3 linked regions of the Elephas maximus indicus genome follow. The protein of the gene in region 2 purifies or fractionates together with the protein of the main gene of each other region. This does not show direct contact. Links are inferred from orthologs where the notes say so. Each region holds a gene or a part of one and is shown on either strand. Other genes may lie near its edges.

Region 1 (7,168 bases), on a different chromosome or scaffold from region 2:
AGCAGCCGCCCGCCTGCCTGACTCCACGCCCCATGGGGAGCAGCTCCCCTCCCGCCACCCCTAGAGCCAAACGGTCCCTCTCACACACACAGCAGCCTCACAGACCTGGCCCCGGGATGGACAGCTGGTGCCAAGGCCGGCCAAAGCGACCAGCTGCTCGACTGGGATGGGCAAGGGGAGGGGCCGGGCGGAAGTAACTTCAGGAGCTCAGGCACAGGGAGCGGGAAGGGGCCCCTGGGAACCCTGGATCAGGGACCCTCACGGTAGAGGGAGGGAGACACAGATCTGGGCCAGAGACCGCCCCGGTGACGCAGCACAGAAGCTCCACTGATGCCCACCTTCCTGTCCAGGAGTCTGGAGCAGCTCTGCACTTGATACCCTCTCAGGTCCCAGGCCTGCCCAGCTGCCCCTACTCAGTCCCATGTTTATGCTGAAGCTTGGGAGGCCACCCAGAAACGTGATTTGAATCCCGACTGTGCCACCCCCAAGCTGGTCAAGGGCCAATTATTGGGCTGCTTGGAGCCTCAGTTTCCCTGTCTACAAGGTAGGGATGACAACACACCTGTAAGTGCTACTCACATCAGGGAAGCACTCCAAGGCAAGGGCAGGTGTTCAGTGGCCAGAGCCCAGCCTGGGACAGGGCCAGTGCCCCCTCCAGCCCCGCCCCCCCCACCACATCAGCTAAGCCCCAACTTCCTGAGCCTTCCAGGGGACTGGAAGGCAGGGGGTGGTGAGTATGGCTTGGGAAACACAGGCTTTGTGCACCCAGACCTGAGTTCTAATCCTGCCCCACACAAGTTATGGTCCCTCCCTGGGCTCAGGAAGGTATGGATGCTAAGTGCTAACCTGGGGAGAGTGAGTGGCCCAACTCTTCAAGGCCTCTAGAAGACACTAGCTCCAGGCAGGAGGAGATCCGGAACCTCCCTGTGGCCTCTGCTCCACCCCACCTCCTTGTCTTTTCTCCCCCTGCCCTGTCTTCTCTCCTATGGGCAAGGGCCACTCCTGGCTGTGTGACCTTAGACAACATCCTTCCCTCTCTGGGCCTCAGTTTCCCCAGCTATTTGAGGCAATGGTTTCCAGTAGAACAACTAAAGGCTCTAGACCCTGCTGTTTGATGGCACTGGAGTCAGGTCTTGGGGGCCAAGGGGAAAGGGAGTAGGAGTGAGAAACTGCCCCATTTTGGTGGGAGTGGGGCAGTCAGGCAGTAGCTCAGGGCTTGACTGTCCTGTCACCCCAGCAGCATAGTGTGTGACCCCCATCCTATGCCACTGTCAGTCCCTTCTTCAGTGCTGGAGGGGGTGTCTCTGGCCCTGGAAAGAGTTGGAGAAAGGGCCCCCGAGTTCCTCTCCTGGCCACTCCTTCCCGCAGACACAGGGAGGGCCATTGGGTCGGCGGAGGGAGGCCACCAAGAGAAGCAGACTCCACGTCAGCGCAGCGTCTCCCTCCGCGGAGGAGCATCAGACAATGAGCCAGTGTGCAGGAGCAGGAGGCCAGGAAGCTCCTGGGGCCGGAGCTCCCCGCCCCCACGCCAGACAAAGAGCCGGCCCGGGCCTGGGGAGCTGGCGGCCTTCCCGCCTCTCGGGGCGCCCCGGGGAGGGGGGGCCTCTCCAGCGGGGACGTGGGGGCTTTGTCTAACTCCGCCACCGCCGGCCAGGCCACGGCTTGGCAACCCACCCACGAGCAGGAGGCTGGGCTGCAGGGCGTGAGGGATGATGACAGGGAAGCCGGGAGGAGGGGCGCGGAGAGTCCATCTTGGATGCAAATGGGGAGACAGGGCTTTTTGCAAAGGGGTCCGCAGGGGGCATGTAGGCCCCCCAAAAGAAAACAGCGATTTGGGGACAGCACTCCTCTTGGAATGCACCATAGGAGATAGAAGAAAGACTGTTTACAGGTGCCAGCTAGTCCCGAACAGGGCTGCAGGGGTCCTCAGTGGGTGTCCCTGTTACCCTCAGTGACCCCAATCCCTCAGGACCCCAGTGTGGGGCCCCTGCCTCAACTACACCAGGGCAGCCTGAGAATTCCCGCCTGTCCAGGCTGGCACCACCCTCCGCCCTGCCCACCCCCAGAGAGATGGAAGCAGAAGACATCCTACCTAGGCAACAAAGCCTGTCTCAGGAAGGCCTGCGGACCCACGGGAGGTGAGGGCATGTGAGAAAACGGGGGCTGTTTGCTCTCGGCGGCTCACAGCCCACATCTGAGCAATTCAGATCACCCCAATCTGCAACCTTAATCTTAACCCTTTCCCAACCCCAAAACCTCAGTGTCCAAGAAGTTTTTTTGTTTTCTTTAAATCTTATAGGTCCCTTTAGAATTTTTGTAGTTATGGAGTCAACGTCTGGAGGCCAGGCCGGAAACTCGGGGCAAGCTGCCAGCTTGGCATATTGGCGAGCAGAGCCAACCCTCCCCCCCCACCCCAGGGCAAGGCCCTTGGCCCTCTCCCCCAACCAAGGCGCCCCGCTTTTTTGGACGCATGCTTCCAATCAAGTGTCTAAAGGTCCCTGGTGAGGAGACAAAGCCAATCACCCCACAACCCCAACAATTTTACCTCCCCTCCCCGACGGCGCCCTCGGTCTCCCAGGTACCCCACCCCCTGGGCACAGCCTAAGGAAGGTTGCCTGATAACTTCTGGAAGAGTTTCCGAGACCCCCTGCCCTCCAGGGAGGGGAGATGCGTACCTCCCGATTTCTGCAGAAGGGGGGCCTTCCATGACAGACTTAGGGGCTCCGAGATCTGGGCCCCTGAAATGCCGCCCTCACCCACCGCCCAAGACACCCAGAAGCCGCGGGTCTTCCCCAACTACTTTGACTCTGCGCGCGCAAGAGGTGGTCTCCCGCAAGTCCCGTTCTGGGCGCCCCCCGTTTCCGCGCGCCAGGCCGGACCCCCTTTACCCTTTAAGTCCCCGGCCAGGCCAGTGCCTCCGGGCCCGTCTACCCGGCCCCGCGCCCCCAGGGGCGGCCGCAGCCTGGCAAACCCGGCGTTCCCGCCTGGGCCCAGCATTGCCCGGGTGAAGCCCCGCAGCCTGGCGCCCCCCACGGGCCTGCCCCGCGCCCCAGGCGCCCGCGCCCCGCGGCGCCCGCGCGCTGCCGCCTCCCGCCGGCAGGGGCCCTCGCCGAGCCGCCCAAAAGCCGCCGGAGGAAAAAGGAGCAAGAAAAGCCTCCCTCCCTCCCGGCCCGCACGCTCCGTCCCCGGATCCCCCGGCCGCGGCGTGGGGGCTCCGCGGCTGCCAGCGCCCCGACCCCCGGCCCGGCCACGAGCAGGCCCGGGGGGAACGAGGCACGCGGCGAAGTTTGGCGCGCGGCGCCGGAATCATGGCGGCGGCGGCGGCGGCTCTGCCACGGGCCGGACCCGGTGCCCGGCGCCCCGGCCACGCCGCGAGGCCCCCGGGAGCCCCTGGCCGGCCGGGCGCGCGGGGCCCAACTTGGCGGCACTTGGCGCGGCGCGCGACCGGGCGCTCACTCACCCGCGTTGAGGGCGGCGGCGGGCATGTGCGCGTTCAAGTTCGGCTTGTACGACATCCCCCCACGGGGGCCGCGCCGGGGCGGCGGGCCGGGGGCGGCGAGGCGGCTCCGCGGCGGGGCCGTGCGCCCGTCCGTCCGCCCGCCGGGCTCCCGCGCACTTTTTGTTGTGGACGCGCGGGCGCACCGGCAAATATGGCCGTCCCTCACCCTGCCGCCCGCCGCAGTCGATCACCCATACATCGGCGGGCGCAGGGGCGGCCGCAAACTTTGTGCGGAGCCGGCGGTGGCCCGGGCCGGGAGGGGGCGGCCCAGCGCCCGCGCCCCCGGCGTCAGGGCTCCGCCCGCCGGCCGCGCCCCGCGCCTCCGCGCGCGCCCGGCGCCCGGCGCCGCAACTTGGCAAAGTTTGGGGGGCGGGGGGCTGGGGGCGGCCGGTCGCGCGAGGCCCCTTTCTTCTGCCTTCGTTTCCGGCGACGCGGGGAGGGGAGGACGTTAATCTACCGCTTAATTTTTTTTTTTTTTAATAGCTAGGTAGAATTTAAGAATGACTTCTCCCCCCCCCCCTTTTTTTTTTTTGGCTGTGGGGGCAGGGATGGAAAATTACCTGGAGAAAATGGTGGCGACTGGGGCTTTTAAGCACGGAGATCTTTCCAGATACCGAGTGCTGGCTCTTACCCATGATGAGAATAACCAGTTCTTGACACTGATTTTAAATAAACTTCTTGTCTGTGTATTAGGTGGTTTTTAACCTTTTTGTGGGGGCCTATGACTCCTTAAGGCTCTGACAAACGCCAAAGGCCTTCTCCTCGGGACAGTTCACCCTGGCATCCACCTAATTTTGAATACTAACGCATCCAAATATTTAAGCAGCACCAGCTCTATGGCAGGCACCTTCCTAGGCACTAGGGAGCCAAGAATGACCTTGGCGAAGTTTCTACTCACAAATTTCCACCCTCCTCCGACCCCACCCAAGCCCATTCTCTGATCAGAGACATAATCATAAAATGCATTTCGGATTTGATGAATCACCTTTGGGGGGGGCTATTTCTTGGATTTTGGCTACATAGTAAAGCTTTCCAAAATAAACAGGAGGCGCACTTTTTTTCTTGCCTTGGTTTGCTGGTTTAGTAACTCACATTTAGACGTCATTGCTGGATCTCAGTGACCTCTCCACCGAAGAAAGAAGGGATACCCACCCAGTCTTTCCCTTCTTCCCTCCCTCTACGACTAATGGTGCAGGTGACACCCTTGCCCCGAAACCAGCACCCAAGGAGTACTCTTGGAAAACGTCACAGTAACCAAACCCAACTAGTCCATGGAGCACACATCCTAGTGGGGAGTAGAGGTCAAGACAGCACCTATTTCATAGTGGAAATCATGGAAGGCCATCTAGAAATAGGGCAACAGAATGGTGCCTGCTTCATTCCTTTTCTGGAGTCCCGAGGGGCTGGTGCAAACAGTTACTGCCATAGGCTGCTAACCAAAAGGCTGGAGCTTTGAGTCTACCCAGACGCGCCTCAGAAGAAAGGCTTTACGGTCTACTTCTGAAAAATCTGCCATTGAAAATCCTAAGTGTAACAGTTCTACTCTGACATACGAGGGGCACCATGAGTTGGAATTGACTCAATGGCAACTGATTATTATTCCTTTCTGGACATAAATTAGATTTTCCTTCATCTGGAGTGACATCAATTCAACTCAACCCACTTTTTGATTATCTTCTGTACACCCTATTGAATGCTGCCATAAGCAATGGAAGTGGTATGTCTTCTTTTTCCCATTGGGATTGACTGTTGGTGGTTTACATGTTGTTGGTGCCGAGATACTACTTACTGCTTATACGTCGAGGGTAAAATTTGGTCTATCACAAAGTGGATTTTTTTTAGAACCCACTGGCAAGACAAGTGGGGTCGCCATGTCCAGGCTGGACATTGAACAGCAGTGGGTCTGTTTTTTTGGTTTGGTAAGACAGAACTGGAGCCCTGTGGTACAGTGATTAAGAGCTCAGCTGCAAACCAAAAGGTCAGGTCGGCAGTTCGAATGCACCAGCTACTCCTTGGATACCCTGTGGGGGTGGCTCTACTCTGTCCTATAGGGTTGCTATGAGTCAGAACCGCCTCGCCTGTAGAGATGGTTTTTTTAAATAGAACCAACGAATAATTAGAAAGGTTTTACTAAACTTTGTGTTTGGCTATTAACAAATGGCACCCAATCTATTTAGTAACATTTGAAACAATCAATTTGGCGTTACTTCTGCTTCTTGCGTGGAAATTCTGTCATAACATTTGGAACTCTAGCAGCCATCTTATAACCCTGAGGATGGAAGACATGCGCTAAAGATGGTGGAGTAGAAAAGTAGAGACTTCATAGAGCTGCCCACATCTGGAGTTCCTTTACAGAAGAGAATAACCCTATGTGTTTAAGCCACTGTAACCAGGTTTTTACCTGAGTGCAATTCCTAACTGATGAGGCTGTCCCTGACAACATGTTCAAAGAAGAAAAAAGAAAGCTACGTAAGTATCCAACAATAAAGGATTGCCTAGGTATGTTATGTTATGGAGCCCTGGCGGCACAGTGGTTAAGAGCTCAGCTGCTAACCAGAAGGTTGGCAGTTCAAATCCACCAGCTGCTCCTTGGAAACCCTATGGGGCAGTTCCACTCTGTCCTGTAGGGTTGACATGAGTTGGAATTGACTCGATGGCAGTGGGTTTGGTTTAGGTATGTTATAGTAATACATAAAAAAAAAAAAAAGCATCCTGTGATCAGCTGTAGGCTAGCCCACCAAAGGTTGCTAAGTGAAATTTTATTCCATGAATAACTTACAGTCACCCCCTTCTGTACTGTCCCCAGGGACCAGTACTCCAGAGTACACGCTACTGTCCCACAGAAATATTATGCCAGCCACATATATAATTTTAAATTTTGTGGTAGTCATGTTTTAGAAAGTACAAACCTGGGGAAATTATTTTTTAACGACATATTTTATGTAACCCAATATCCAAAATAGTGTGATTTCAACATGTAATCAATATAAGGAAATAATTAAGATTTTTTTTTTTTTAATTGTACTTAGTCTACAAAATTTTACACTTACAGCACATCTTAATTCAGGCTAGCCTTGTTTCCAGCGCTCAGTAGCTACAATGGTTTGTGCCTCCATGTTGGACAGAGCAGGGCTAGAAGCTACAAGCAGAGGGCTCACAAGGCAGAGAGACGTGGGTACTAGTGCTGGCCGTACCACCTTTTAGCTGTTTGACTTGGCCTCTGTTTCCTTGAGGGCAAGAAAGCAGCTCTCAGCAGCCTGCCCTGTACCTTCTACAAAACTCTGGGGTATTCACTTGAGTTGTTGTTGTATTTTGACCACAATGCATAGTCCCTCACTTTAGATCCTGGCCATAATTCAACAAATATTTTTCCTTTTTTTTTTTTAATTGATATAATCCACATAGCATGAAATTCACCATTTGGAAGTGTACAGTCCAGTGTTTTTTAGTATATTCACAATTGGGCAACCATTGCCCCTTTCATTCTCATCACCCCAAAAAGAAACTCTGCATTGGTTAGCAGTCACTCCTGATCCTCCCTTCCCCCAGCCCTATGCAATCATTGATCTACTTTGTCTCCATGGGTTTGCCCATTCTAGATATTTCATACCAATGGAATCATATAATATGTGGCCTTTTGTGAATGGCTTTCACCCAGCATGTTTTCAA
Region 2 (6,831 bases):
GCTTCCTAATGTTCCTCCCCCGTTCTAGTCCCAACTAAATTCTCTCTTACCCACTATTAGGGGAGAAATGTCCAGAGCCAGAAAGCCAGTCAGTTTCAATCTAGGACCCGTTGATGTTCCTCCTGCCTCTTTGTTTTCCCTTAAGTACTACTGATTGGATAGACAGTGAGAAAGTGAGCTGGTAGCCCCTCCTGTGCATCCTGTGCTTGCCTCCCTGCTGGCTCCCCGTACCTCCTGCAGCTCCTCATAGTGCAGACTCTGGCTCCTGCAGCATCCTGGCTTCCTCTGGCTCAACAGGAATAGGGCATATGCTGAGACCAGCACTCCCCCTAGGGTGAAGGCCTCAGCGCTGAGCTCCAGCACCAGCAAGCCGGCTAGCTGCAGCAGATAGATAGGGCTGAGGATATTGCAGGGGACCCAGCACATGTTTGCCCCTACCCTCTTCCCTCTCCATCTCCTCTTGCCTCATCCTCCCACCTTCTTCATTCAACCATACCTGGGAGGGGGCAGTTGGGGCAGGTGCCAAGGCTGTCTTCATCACCTCCACCACCACCACAATGAAGGCCAAGATCAGGTTGAAGATATTCAATATCATCATGGCCCGCACCTGCCAGTGAGCCAGCTCAGCCCTGTGTAGCCCAGGGGACTCACTCCAACCCCAAGTCCCACCTGCAGTCAGCTGAAATCAAAACTCTGTTCCTGCATCTCCACCACCAAATAAGGCTGTCAGCCCTTTAACTTTCTTGCTGTCTCTCCTCAGGCCTTTATGTCAGTCAGGGACAGCACAGCCTACAGGATTAGTCAACACTTACAGAGCCACTTACTTCCTGGGCTCAGGGGTATGTGTGTGGTGTGTTTGTGTGGGGGAAAAGGGAGACAGTACTGCGTTCTCTTCCCCTCTCACCTTCCAGAGGCGAGGTGCTCTGCGCAGCTCAAGGGTGACAGTCCCAGAGAGGAGACCCTGAATGGTGAGAAGGGCAAGGGTTGAGCTCTGGCCCTATTAAGGAGCCCCTGTTTCTTCCATGCTCCCTTGAGGTGGGTCTCACCGAGGCTGCAGGCCCAAGGGGCAGCGCTGTGGCCATGTGACAAGCAGAGTTCAAGCAGGCGACAGAGACAGCAAAGGGCACCACAGCCATTGCCAGCCAGAGCTGGCTCACCTGGGGGCCAGGGGCACGGTAGTTGAGGGGGAGCCTTCAGGGATTCCCCTCTCTCCTCACAACCTCTGCCTCTTCCAGAGATTAGGAATTGGGATGAATGGATGGTTGGAGAGGGTATTCAACCAAGGGATTGAAGGAAGGGGGTATCACTTAATTTTTCTGCCTCATGTCATAGTTACTTACCTATATATTTTCCCCACATGATGGAAGCTGTTTGGAGATTAAGGATCTTGCCTGTTTTATCTCTGTGTTTCCTCCTCCCTCCTCCCACTCAGAGCCTAGCAAATCTTCTGGCATATGGTAGGGTCTTACTGAACATGGGTGGAATTGAACTGGGATACAGGTGGGCATATGGGAGCCTGGGGTGGGGCAGCCTGGCCTCACCGCCAGCACCAAGATGTGCCCACTCTGCTTGTGCCTCGCCCAGTGCCGTAGCTTTTCCAGATGAATGCTGGATCTCTCCCACTTTTGCTGACCCGCTCTCTCCTCCATGGCTCCTTTGACTACTGGAACTGGGTGCTTCCTAGGCTGGGAAAAATGAGTTATGGGGCCTGTCTATCAGGAGGCAGGACACTCAGCAATGTCTCCTTCAGCTGCCCCCCTACCTGCTTTCAGTATCCAGGGGGTTCAGGCCCGGGGCCTCACACCTACCTAGTATGAAGTAGCTTCTCTGAAGGGATGGGACCCAGCAGGGGCCTGAGGCTCCCGCAGGGGCCTGAGGCTCCCAGAGGGGCCTGGTAGCTCAGAGCATACGACACACTTGCTCTGGCAAGACAGGTTGTCAGGGCTGGGGTGTGGTGGGGCAAAGGTCCCTATGAGGGCCAAAGGATCCAGGGAGTGGCCCTGGTTGGTGCCAGCCTCAGTTCATTCCACAAAATACCCATCCCTGCCTCTTGCTCTTTCCATTTTCTGTTGCCCCCACCTCCCCCCACCCTGGGTTCCTCTTCTGATCGCTAGCCTCATCCTGATGGACACCATCACCCTGGGCCCTAATTTCCCCCCATTTCTATCCTTCCTCCTCAAATTACTTGCTCTTCTCTAGGGAAATCCCACATTACTGTCTGGATTGGTCCCTGTCATTACCACTTGCAGCTTTGTCCCCAGACCAGGTAAGATTTAAATCTCTGGCCTCCTGCCTCTCACTTTCGGGACTGCTTCTCCACCTTCCCATTTCGAAGGATTTGCTCTGCATCAGAAACCAACTAAGTGGATGGAGAAACCTGTTTATGGCTGTGATTGTTTCTGGCTCAGTGATAACTTGCATCTAGAGATGTATAGAGGATGGACCCAAAATGGTTAGTCTTGGGAAAGACACTATTGCAGTAATTAGTATTTTTGAGAGCTAGAAGGTGCCTTGCAAAGAGACAGATCTGAACTAGAATCCAGCTCTGCTAGTATGCCTGCTATGTGACCTTGGATAAATTATTATCCAAGAATTATTATTCTACCTATTTAAACCTTTCACAGATAAAAGGGGACTAATAATATGTGTGAAGAGTTGTTTACTAAGGGCTGGTGCTTAATAACTGTTAGTGGTACTGATGAGGTCATCCTGATGAGCCTGATGCCCGTATACTAAAGGGCTTATTCAGAAGTTGAGATGGAGCCATTTATTTCTACAGAAAGGAGCAGAGCCAAAAAAAAAAAAAAAAAAAAAAAAAAACCCAACCCAAACTCATTGCCATCGAGTCAATTCTGAGTCATAGTGACCTTATAGCTGGGCCCAAATATACACTCTATAGATCAAAGATAGGAAAGGCTGTCTTGGTCTGCAGGCAACCAGTCCTATGTTCAAATACCAGATCTACGTGGGTGTCCTTGGGCAAGTTACTTCATCTCTCTGTTTCCTTGTTTATTAAGGGCAGTTAATACCAATCTCAAAGAGTTGTCTTGAGTATTAAAAGAGAAAATTCATATGAACCAGCTCAGCCCAGCACCTGGCATGTAAGAGCTTAATAATGTTAGTAGCTATTATCATCATCATTATTTCTTATTATTGATAGTAGAAGAAAACTGAGCCAGAATACCTCTGGGAGTTACTACTGGGAGGCGAGTGGCCTTCTTTGTAAGCCACTTCTGCCCTGCTCAGTGCCGGGCCAAGCCTCACTGGAACATTGTACCCACTCTTTCCTTTTCTGGGGAGTGGGAATTCCATTTTAAAAGGATCCAGAAAACTGCTGTGTCTACGTCTTCCTCCTCGATTTTCATGGGCATTAATTTTATTTGGTGGCGATGGCCTGCCAGAATGTGAGACATTCGTCTTGCTCTGAGGATTCCTGGGCTTGCAGACCAGTGACTGGCTGGGGAAAGAGACTCCTTGAGCCTCATTTTCCTTACATTTAAATGGCGACTAGTTATATTTCAGAGGGTTATTGTAAGGATTATATGCTATTAACTATGTGAAGAGGCACTCAATAAATATCGATTAAATCTGAGTATGCTATTTATAAGATCGTAGCCCCTGTCTGGACTACAAGCTCCTGGAGGAAGGAGACCACAATGCCCCTTATCTGTGCATCCCCCACAGCGCTGAGCATAGTGCCTGGTACTTAGTAAGAACTCAGTAAATATTTGTTGTATTGAAGAGCCATTAAAGTGACTTAAGGAATGGAAAATAGAACTCAAGAGGAAGGAGCTGGAATTGTTTATCAAGAACAGAAAGGACCGAAGAGTAACTTTAATAATGTTTCTTATACGGCAGACATTAACTATCTCTCTAATCGCCCCTCCTCCTCCCCCAAAAGAGAGACAGAAAATATAAGGGAGAGGCTTTGAGATAAAACCCCAGGAAGAACTTCCCGAGTCTGTGCATGTTGGGGCAGAAAGAGCGGCAGAGCCAACTCCTTGCCTGGTATGTCCGGGTTTAGGGTGGGAGGGGCAGTCCAGCTTGGAGGCTGGGGGAAGGACGAGATGACCTTTCAAAATCTCTTCCACTCTCCTGTTCCAATCGTCTGTGCGCCCCACCCCCGCTCCCTCCCTTCCTCTCTCCGACAGCGCCCCCCATCCCCAAACTGCCCGCACCCCGCCCCTGGCGGCCGCCTCTCGCGGCTCCCGGGGTCCCCAGCTCCCGCTCCCGCTCCCGCGCGGCTCCCAGCCCCGCCGCGCCGCCCCCCGCATGCTAATGGCCGGGCCGCCTCCCGCCGCACACAATGCGGGCCAGGGCCGGGGGCGGGGGACCGGGGAGGGGGCGGGGGCCGGGCCGGGGGCGGGGGGGCCGGGGCCCGGCGCATCTCCCCCGGCCCCACGTAACGCTGACGCCCGCGCCGCCGGCCCGCCGCCCGCCGCCGCCGCCGCCGCCGCCGCCGCCGCCGCCCGCTCCACCGCCGCCCGCCCGGGGCTCGTGAGTAGCCGCTCCCCCCACTCCTGGCCCCCCCCAGCCATCCAGCCCCCGCCCCCGGCCCCCTCCCCCCCACCCGGAGGGGGGGGCCGCTCTGCGCGCCCGGCTCGGAGCAGGTGCAGGGGGCGGGGGCGGGGGAGGGGCGCCGGCTCGGCCCCAAGCAAACTTCGCCCAGAGCTCCTGGGGGGGCGCGGTGGGGGCGGCTGCCTCAGAAGCCTGAAGACCTGGGGGTGGGGGGCCCCAGGGAGGTGGGGGCCAGGTGGGGGAGCTGGGAGAGCGGACACCGAAGGGGAAGGGCCAGCAGAAGGGAGGGGGGTGGGCGCCTTTGTAGGGGCCGGGAGGGAGGGCGCGAGGGGCCTGGGGGCGCTGGGCAGCTGATCCGGGAGGCAGAGTGGATGAGGGTCCCCCGGCCCAGGTAGGGCTGGTGGGGGAGGGGGGAGGCCCAAACTCTCCAGGAGCAGGGGTTGGGGGAGGGGAGAGGATGAGGAGTGCTTCCCTCTCTGCGTCCCAAACAAAGTGTCACAAAGAGCTCGGCCCGCGGCAGCAGCGGAGGCGGCTGTAACTCAGCTTTTGTTCTCCCGGCCAGGGGTAGCTGAGCCCTGGCCTCCTAATACCCCAACCCTGCCCCCCGTCATCCTTCTGGCTTATCCTCCCCGGGAATGGTCTGGGGTGCTGCTGGAAGAACCCCTTGTGCCCGGATCACAGGTCCTACCGTACTTGCCAACCTCCTTCTGGGAGGGGGATTTTCCCAGTCTCTCCTGCTTACCCCCAGTCATAGGTGCCAAGACTGTGACCTCGCTAGGGTTAGCTTCAGTTAAGGGGACTTAGGGCTGGCTACATGCCCCTTCCCTTAAATCCAAGTTCTCTAGAACTTTCAGAAGAGGGGTCAAGTTGGGACATGCCTCTGGGATAGGATTCACCATGGTGGGTGGCAGCAGGTGAGCAGGTGTACCTTCCTCTTTTCCTCCTTCTGTACGTTTGCAGTCTGTGATAGATCCCCTGCCTCCAACTCAAGACAGTGAGGATGGGGGAAGGAGGCTTCACCAAGAATCAGTGTGAAGGGTGGGCAAGTTGTGGGGTGGGTTGGGTTTGGAGAAACTATCTGAGCAGTGAGGTTCAGAGGGCAATGGAGAACATAAATAAAACTGATAAAACTGAACTATTGGCATGTCTGTGTGATGAAGGTGGTCTTGACTCTAGACCACCTAAGAAGCCCCATTCCCTTATAACCCCATCTATTGCAGTCTTAAGTCATCATTGTTCCTAAAGCTGACTTGGGAGGTGGGATTCTCTACAGAGGGAAAGCATCAAGCATTAGAGATGATCAGAAACAGGCCAGAAACAACTAGGCCCCTGAAGTCCTGAACCCTCACCCCTTACACTCTGACCCTGAAACCATTTGAGCCACATATCTTGAAGGACAATTTCATCCTCCAGTTAGCAGATGCTTCTATGTATTTGTCCCTGCTGTTTCTGAGAGTCTTCTCACCAACCCTTCCATTCTTCCCTACTCAGTAAGGTTTGATGGTCCACACCCCACCGCCTCCCTTACCAGATTGCCTAGCACATAAAAATTTGTAAACTGGCCTTTTGTTTTGGAAAGATTTCTGATCCCTATCCCTGGCCCTGCATTCCTATAGAACCCAAATAAGGGCAAGATAACCCCTAATTCTGGGTGGGGTGGAAAGTAGGTCAGTGCTCTGTCTGGTGAATTCTTGTGGATGGTGTTTAAGGCCTGACCAGGAGAATCTGTGACAGTTGCCCACAGACAATACACGCATGACCTAGGTTCCAGGCCATTTCAAAGAATCCCAGGCCCTGTCAGTGCTTTCTCCTATAGAGAAAAACCCATGGAATCTGGCACCGGGGAACAGGTGCGGAAATGATCCAGGAGATCTTGACTGGGCCTATGAGGGCCTTTTAGTGGGTTCTGTTAGTTTTAGGTCACCATCTGGGGAAACTTTCCCTGCTGAGGAATAATTCAGCTTCATTTTGGGCGTTCCTGTATATCACTATATTTTCACCCTGGAAACTGTTCATAGCCAGTTTTTTGTTTTTGTTTTGTTTTTGACTGGGGAGGGGGGGAGCTTTGCCCTGTTCTTACTCTTCTAGCCTTTGATGAAAGGCCAGCTTCCCATAAGGTATTTTGCATGCTATCTTACCGGCAGTTTTAGGGGCCCAAGAATCTTCTCGGAATCAGAGTATGTGCCCATAGGTTAGTCAGCTATGACCATGCAGTATTCCCAGCCTCACTACCCCCCCCACCCCCCCAACTGCCATCTGCTTCTTCTGAATATACCAGATTGGCTGTACACCAGGATGTTCCGGGAATCCCCA
Region 3 (7,576 bases), on a different chromosome or scaffold from region 2:
ACCTCTGTCTCACCAGCCACTCAATGCTGGCCTGGAGCCCAGACTCTCCCACATCTCCGGCTCGGATCTGGGGAAGACGGGGCGGGAGGGGGGCGGGCGAGGAGCGGGGGGCGGAGCCTGGCAGTCAGAGAAAGGAGGCGGAGTCTCTGGGAAAGCCTCGCCTCCCGCCCGCCCCCTCTTCTTCTAATCTACCATCAATCTCTCACACATATATTTATTTTTTCTCAAATTCCCCTCCCTCCCCCACAACGAACCACCATAATAGGTCTGTTGCACATGCGTATTGCATGCAGGGGGTGGGTTTGTATTTTCAGGCCTTTTGCAAAGAAACTACCAGAATTTTCCGCACCACCCACAATCATTCCCCACCCCCACCTCCGAGGAATCACATCTATATATTATGTTATATTATTTCTCCAGACTTACCAGAAGGGGGAGGGAGAAGAAACGAGTTTTTGGCTTCCTGCTCCCTTCCCCCATCAACACGAGTGCTATTATTTTAAACGTTTAACAATGTAAGGAGACTGGAGAAGAGGGGGAAGGGATAAAATCGGTCTTGGGTAAGAATGTAAAACAAAATGGTGAGAACCAAAGCGGTCAGAATGAAAAACAATACAAGCCTCTAATATCTAAAATTCATATTCTAGAAAAGGGTGAGGGAGGACAACTTGAACAAATTTCCTGAGAGGAGGATTATTTTCCCCACACTTAAACAGAAATAATTAGCAGACTAAAAATATTTTCTCAAAGTTTTACCTCAGAAAGTCATCTGAGGGGGTGTATCTGGGTCACTCATTTGACTTGGAGGGCTGAAAGGGAGATAAAATTGCCCTGGGAGAGAGGGGAGGCGGGTTTTCATTTCAAATAAAAATTTAAAAGCATTTGACATATCTATTCAGAAAGCAAAGAGGGAGAGGGGGAGGGAATATCGACACAAAGACCCACCTCAACCTAAGATTCTTCCTGCTCCTCTCTCTCACGTACCCATATCCGAGTTCAAAACCTCCCAAATACCACAACCCAAATTCAGAATACAAGTAGGTGAGAGTTGCCAATTTCTTAACTAAACCTGTCATCCTTTCTTTCCCTTTATTTAGCACCTCTGCTGTTTTCCAAGCAACCCCTACCCCAATTCTTTATTCCTTTCCCTCATGCAAAATCAGTGGGGGCTCTAGAATAACATTAAAAAAAAAAAAACTTTTCCTTTTTTCAGACAAGCCTAGGCAAAAAAAAAAAAAAAGACTATTTTCTTTCCCCTTAGACACAACCCCCCCCCCAAATTTAGAAAGCTCCCCACACTCCCTCCTTCAAAGGTTGCCTCAGCAAGACAGAAAAGTTTGCCACATATGGCACAAAGATCAATACGGCAGTTTTACGAAGAGAATGATGTTAGAAAATTTGAAGTTGGGTGCATTTGTGCTGCATGGCACCCAGAGGTCTGGGGGTGTGGATGTCCCCCCTTTCAATTCCCAAGCAGGCAGTGTGAGCACTGCCCTCGCTCACCTATCCTATAAAAAGACTAGAAATAAACCAACTAGAAGATGGTCTTTGTGGGCCCACCGGCGGGGCGCCCGAAGCGAGGCAGCGGTGTGTCCCCTCCACGGCTGGTGGAGCAACCCAGAAGTGCCGGGTGACTCGTCAGCCCGAGGGAGAGGTTCTGAGTGATGGTCAAGCTGCAGAACAGCTGAGTGGGCAGTTCACGCCCCCCAACGTGGTCTGGGTGCGGGCGGTTTGAGCTGAAGAGTGAGTGACAGGGAACGGCAGCCACGTGAGAGTCACAGCTGGGCAGCTCGGCCACCCCAGACTGACTGGGTCATGGGGGGGCGCACTTGACACAAAAGAGCCCAGGGCAGGGGAGTGACAAAGGGGGAGGAGTTGGGGGGAGGACTTCGGTTTCCCCCTGCACTCTGTTCTCGCTCCCCAGTCTTCAGTGGCGCCGCCCCCCCAGTACAAGTTGCGGGGAGGGGGGGAAGGATCAAGTCTGATTCCGGGAAGTGTTCTGCTTGGAGTGTGGCCACCACCTGCCCCTAGTCCTCAGCCGCCCACGAATAGCCCACGACCCCTCCCCACGTGCCACTGCACGCCCCTAAGCGGACACAAAAGTCTCCGCAACTCGGGGGGGGGTCCAATGGGCGCCATTATCCCCCCTGCCTTCCCAACTCCTCAGGGGAGGGAGACTTAAGAACACCACTCGCGAAAACCCAGTTTTCCCTCAGTCCAGCCCCACCGGGGCCGAAGCCCGAGGGGCGCCCGCGCGGCCGCCCCTCCCCCACGCGCCCCTCCCCCCCACGCCGCCGTCCGGCCGCCAGGGTCTCCGCGGTCCCTCGCTCGGCCAGGGAGGGGGCCCTGGCTTCGCCTCGGCCGTTTCCTGCCTACCCCCTCCCCGCCGAGGGTAAAAAAAAAATCTCCTCCTCCTCCTCCCCCGAAAGCCGCGACCAAGTGGCCCGGTCCGCGCGCGCAGCTCGCTCCCAGCGCTCTCCAGCCCGGGCGACGGCGGCAGCGGCGGCGGCGGCGACGGGGGAGGGGTGCGGCGGGGGAGGGGAGGAGGCCTGGCCCCGCCGCCGCCCGGATCGCCCGGTCGGACCGCCGCGGGGCGATCGGCCCGAGACGGCGCCCCGCGCCCCGGATTCACCTCGCCTCGGCCGCGCGGTGGGTGTCTCGCCCCCGCTCGGCCTCTCGCGCCCGCGGCTCCCGCTGGGGGCTGGGGGAGGTCGAAGCGGCCGCTTACCTGGAGGCGGGGGCGGCGGCGGCGGGGGCAGCGGCGGCGGTGGCGGCGGCGGCGGGAAGAGGTGGCAGCCGGGGGGGTTGTGGCGGTCGCGGCCCCGGTCGTGGTCCGGCCCGCGCCCGAGTACTCTCTCGTCGTCGTACTCCTCATCGTCCTCGTCGGCCGCCTCCACCTCCTCCTCCTCCTCGTCGCCCTCTTCTTCTTCCTCTTCTTCCTCCTCCGACACCACCATCTCCTCCTCCTCCTCCTCTTCGTCCCTCAGAGGGGAAGCCATCCTGTGGCTCTGGCCCCCCCACCACCCCCCCACCCACCGCCCGCCCGCCTCCCCCACCGCTACCACCACCACCACCTCCTCCTCCTCCTCCTCCTCCTCCTCCTCCTCGGCGGCGGCGTCCTCCTCCTCACCGCCTCCCCCAGCCCCCAAAACCCCCGGGCCACCCCCCTCTAAAACCCCCACCCTCGGGGCCGCCGTCTGAGGAGGGGGGCCAAACCACCCCAAAAATTTTCTTGGAAAATTTTCAGGAGAGGAGAGACTTTTTTGCCTCTCTCCTCCCAAGAGAACAAGAAAGGGGGATTAAAAAAAATTATATATATATATATATATATAAAAGTTTTCGACTTCTCTCTACCCCCCTCTCCGTTGCCTTAAATATATTTAAATTCTGAGGGGGGCGCTCAGAAATATTTCTCAGAGCTGAGGCACTAAGATGGCCGCCTTGAAATTATTTTTAAAACAACCCCCCCTCCAGGACCGCCACCCCCTCCATGAAGAAAGGGAGAGGGGGAAAAATCCCCTTTTAAAACAAAATGGCTGGCTTAATATTTCATTTTTCACCCCCCCATTCTCCTCCCTGTTACACCCCCATCTCCAAGCTTTTACCCAGAAACCCAGAAATTTCTCCCTTTTTTCATAACTGATTAGTGCACAGATTAATAGAGATATTTTCCTTGTGTACTGAACTGTGTGTATGTGTGTGTGTGTGTGTGTTTTGGGGGGGCATGAAGGATTTCTGCATAAAACAAAAATGGCTGCTGTGACTAACTCACCCCTTATAAAAAATATTTGAGGGGGGGCATTAATCAGTAGTCATGCTCAGTCTGACATCAGCATAAATTGTTAAAGGTTAACTAGTTAAATACTAGTCCAACCAGATTTAATTTTTTTTTCTTTTCTTTACTAGTCTCTTCCTCCCCACCTCCCTTCTCTAAAGAAAAGCTTTTTTTTTTTTTTTTCTGAATACTTCAGAAGGGAGTGGTTTGATGTGAAGGGTTTTTTTCCCCTTCAGGCATTGAAAAGGAAAAGATGAAATATATGTTTATATATAAATCTGTTTCTGCATACCTCATTGAAGTCAGAATGCATTTAATCGTGTACGTATCTTTTAAGCGAGAAGTGGTACTGAATTTTTTTCTTTCTTTAAAAAAAGTGATAGAAATTCTAGTGACTTTTGGGAGAGAGATATGAATAGATATGATGATTGAGTTTTTTTTCAAAGGAGTCCATGTTTGATTCTCCCTTTCGCCCAGCCTTTTCGGTGATTTATAATTGCTGTAAATTTTATCTTCACTCTTTTCCCCTTTCCCCCCTCCCTGCCATTAATTGAATATAAAATTCATCTGACTTAGGAAATTAATTTGGGGTAAATAGAACAGATTTTTAGAATAAAGGGGAAAGAGTCAAGTCTGACGATTGTGAAATTATTTTCTCTTTTCTCCCATTTCAGTACATTTCCTTCCTCCACGATCTCCAACACTGACAAAGTGGATGAAACTGAGGTGCTGTGAAAGAGAAAAGTAACTGGGACTGAGAGAAAGAGGTAGGGGGTCACATTCAGGTGTTTTCATCTGACTTTCTAACATATGATTTCCACCTGTACTCCAGTGTTTATCATAAAATGGTTCCAGTAATCAGATGGAAGGTTGGAAAGGAATCCAAAAGTAGCGTCCTCCTCCAGGGACTTGACCAGAAAGGTCTACACAAAAAACAAGACTTGCCAGTTGGAGGTGGAACACTTGTACCTTTTCTACCAACAAGCAGTGCTAGCAAAGAAGGAGGGTAAATAGCTCAGTTCTTCCCTTATTCATTCTTGTCACTTTTTTCTTACTCTTGTTTTCTCCCATCCTTTTGATTTCACTTAGCTCCTTGCTTCCACCCCAAGCCTGTGGAATCATTTCTCTCTGGATTATTTTTCTACCTGTTAAGTAGAGCTGCTAGCCCTTCAGCCTCTGCAGTGCTCAGGAGCAACCTAAGAGGGAGGGACGGGTAGGCAGCAACCAGAAGGTATTAGTGATGGAGAATAATACACAAATTTTTAAGAGGCTAAAATATTCTTTGTTCCACCCCCAACACACTTTATTGAGCATTAGTTGCTATCCCTTTCTTAATATGAGCTTTGGAATTCTCTTGCTTCTTTCATATCATTCCTGTACTGAGTCCAATTCCTATTCTTCTACCAGATTTTGTTCTTCTGTCCTCTCTCTCAGTCTCTGTTCTAGTCTATCTGGGTTTCCCTCTCTTTCTGTATATGGGCTTCTCTGTATGTACGTCTTTATTTTTCACTAAGACCGTTTCTCATCCCTTGGACTCTCAGGCTCTGTCACCTCTAAGTGACTTTCCATCTCTGTCTTCTGTTTCCTTCTGTTTTCTGGTCTCTTTGTATGCCTCTTCCTCACGTGTGCCTGGCTTTCTCCTCTTTCTGCCCTACCTCATGGATAGTCTGTGGATCATACTGTGTCTGGGAAGAACGTCTCCACGTGTGTGTGTGGGCCACGCTGCGCATCATGTGCATCGCAGCCTTTCTGGCTCTGTGACCCTCTCCCTCCTTGGTGAGTGTCTCTGCCTGCTTGCCACATGTGCCATGATCTGCAGGTGTGGGTGACTAAAGATGGGTTTTGGGTGGCTGTGTGCATCTCTGTACAAACATTAGTCCTGCTGTCCCTTGAGTGGGCATTGTATACAGATCTGTTAATTTGCCTGATTCTCTCTCCCCTGTCCTTCCCCCGCTCTGCAAGTCTGTATTCTCTCCTGTTCTTGCTTCCTATTGACCTCTTGATTTTTCTTCTTCTATCCTGGTTTCCATCTGCTTCTCTACCTGCTTGCTCCTATCATGGTGCCTGCCTGCCTGTCTGCTCCTCCCTGACTGGCTGGCAGCCTCTTTCTCTCTCTCTGGTTGTCTGTCTGCTTCTCTGGCTGTTTGCCCACCACACTCTCTCTAGCCATCTGTCTCCTCACTTCCCTGTCTCTATCACTTTTTTAGCCTGCTTCTTTTGGTTTATCTACCTTCCAGGCCCTGCCATGGTTCCCTATCTCCATTTGCCTCTTATCTTACTTTTTTGTCTATTCACTTCTTTTATTTATACTTGCTATGTTCATGATTTTTCCTTACCTCCCTTTTATGTCTGTCTACTTGCCTGCTAGTATCCCACTGTTTAATACCTGTGTCTTTTAGACTTTCCACTTAACCAGCTGTTTCTCTCTTGGTTCCCTCTATGCCAACACCCCACCAATGGTAATGGTCTCTCCTCCCTGGCCCCAAACTCTTTATCTGTGTTCTTGCCATGTACACTACCGTGCCTTCTCTCAGCACCTGCCTTCATTCTCAGTTGTCTCTTTCTGTCTGTCTTTTTGGCTACCCAGGCAGTTAGCCTGCCTGCCTCAGTCTTTTCACCATTCTCCTAGGATCTTCACTGTCTTCCTGCCTTTTACCCTTTGCCTGGCTGGCTCTTGCTGTCCACATCCTGCTTGCTTTTCTTTTTTCTTCTTTGTTTTTCTAGTCAGTGTTTGAATAGGTAGTATATACACATGGTACAAAATTTTTAAAGTATAAAAGCTTTACTGTGAAAAGTAAGACTCCCATCTATCCCTTTCCCTCAGTCCTCCAGTTCCTCTCCCCAGAGGCAGCCACTATTTCACATCTCATGGACATTTTTCCAGTGAAAAATATACACACAAACACACAAGTTTACTTGCTTTTCACTGTACTCCTCCCAGTTTAGTGGCATGCTTATTCCTCTGTCAGTCAGTATCCCTTCCTACTTTAGGGGGACTGCCATCTCTTGCCTCTTGTCTTTTTTTATTCTACTTTAGTAGAATTCTAGTTTCTAGTGCAAATGGTTTATACTCAACTATTAACCTAAAGGTTGGTGGTTCAGATCCACCCAGCAGTGCCACAGAAGAAAGGCTTGGCAATCTGCTGCCATAAAGGCTACAGCCAAGAAAATCCTATGGAGCAGTTTCTACTCTATAACATGTGGGGGTCACCATGAGTTGGAATTATCTCTGTGGCAGTGGGTTTGGTTTTGATTTTTAGTTGCTGGTTTCATGCTTTTAATACCAGTATCTGAGAAGAACTTAGGAAGGGCTTGTTCTCTCCTAATCTAGTCTATTCCTCTTAGACAGTTGTCTTACACCCTTGTTGGTCTCTTCATCATTGAGGTATGTATTAATTGAGAAAAAATGTGAGAGCGCTGTCAGACATAGCTATAGTTAGTAAGTACAGATAGTTTCTAAGCTGATCTATCACACATACATAGGGTAGACAGAGGCCTATCCTTCTTTTCCCGCTTAGTCTATATGAATTCTTTAAAGGCATATGAATCTAGATCCTTTTAGGTTGTTGACGTAGGCCTGCGGAAGAAGTTTGTCTTCCTCCTAGTTTAAAAACTTTTGCTGCTTACTACAACTTGTCTCCTTTTTCACCCTTCCTTTTGGCTCCTCTTAAATCCCACCTTAGAGATTTTACAACTCTTTGGGGCAAACAAAGACACAGTCTCTATCCAGATCTCTTCCAGAGAAATAATGATAAAACTGCTACACACAATGCACTGTTGTTTCATTTCTGCTTTTTCAAC

What was found.
Region 1: the proteins of ZNF219 (region 2) and CDK2AP1 purify together in Homo sapiens (affinity purification with mass spectrometry; 3 studies listed by BioGRID and IntAct, counting the BioPlex papers as one, with this or other methods). This does not show direct contact. The link is inferred for Elephas maximus indicus from reciprocal best matches to the Homo sapiens genes ZNF219 and CDK2AP1.
Region 3: the proteins of ZNF219 (region 2) and CHD3 purify together in Homo sapiens (affinity purification with mass spectrometry; 3 studies listed by BioGRID and IntAct, counting the BioPlex papers as one, with this or other methods). This does not show direct contact. The link is inferred for Elephas maximus indicus from reciprocal best matches to the Homo sapiens genes ZNF219 and CHD3.

What each region holds. Positions count from the first base shown.
Region 1 is NC_064840.1:6,984,451-6,991,618, reverse strand, and holds the start of CDK2AP1 (cyclin-dependent kinase 2-associated protein 1), read right to left. Parts: upstream 3,015-7,168; 5' UTR 2,998-3,014; coding exon 2,889-2,997; intron 1-2,888. UniProt on the Homo sapiens protein: Inhibitor of cyclin-dependent kinase CDK2. Also acts as a component of the histone deacetylase NuRD complex which participates in the remodeling of chromatin.
Region 2 is NC_064828.1:31,442,053-31,448,883, reverse strand, and holds the start of ZNF219 (zinc finger protein 219), read left to right. Parts: upstream 1-3,817; 5' UTR 3,818-4,008; intron 4,009-4,438; exon of another isoform or gene 4,439-4,497; intron 4,498-4,956; exon of another isoform or gene 4,957-5,432; intron 5,433-6,758; exon of another isoform or gene 6,759-6,831. Other genes in the region: TMEM253 (transmembrane protein 253), read right to left, coding at 232-378, 497-607, 905-961, 1,047-1,157, 1,542-1,649. UniProt on the Homo sapiens protein: Transcriptional regulator. Recognizes and binds 2 copies of the core DNA sequence motif 5'-GGGGG-3'. Binds to the HMGN1 promoter and may repress HMGN1 expression. Regulates SNCA expression in primary cortical neurons.
Region 3 is NC_064837.1:12,893,072-12,900,647, forward strand, and holds the start of CHD3 (chromodomain-helicase-DNA-binding protein 3), read right to left. Parts: upstream 3,015-7,576; 5' UTR 3,000-3,014; coding exon 2,729-2,999; intron 2,650-2,728; exon of another isoform or gene 2,524-2,649; intron 1-2,523.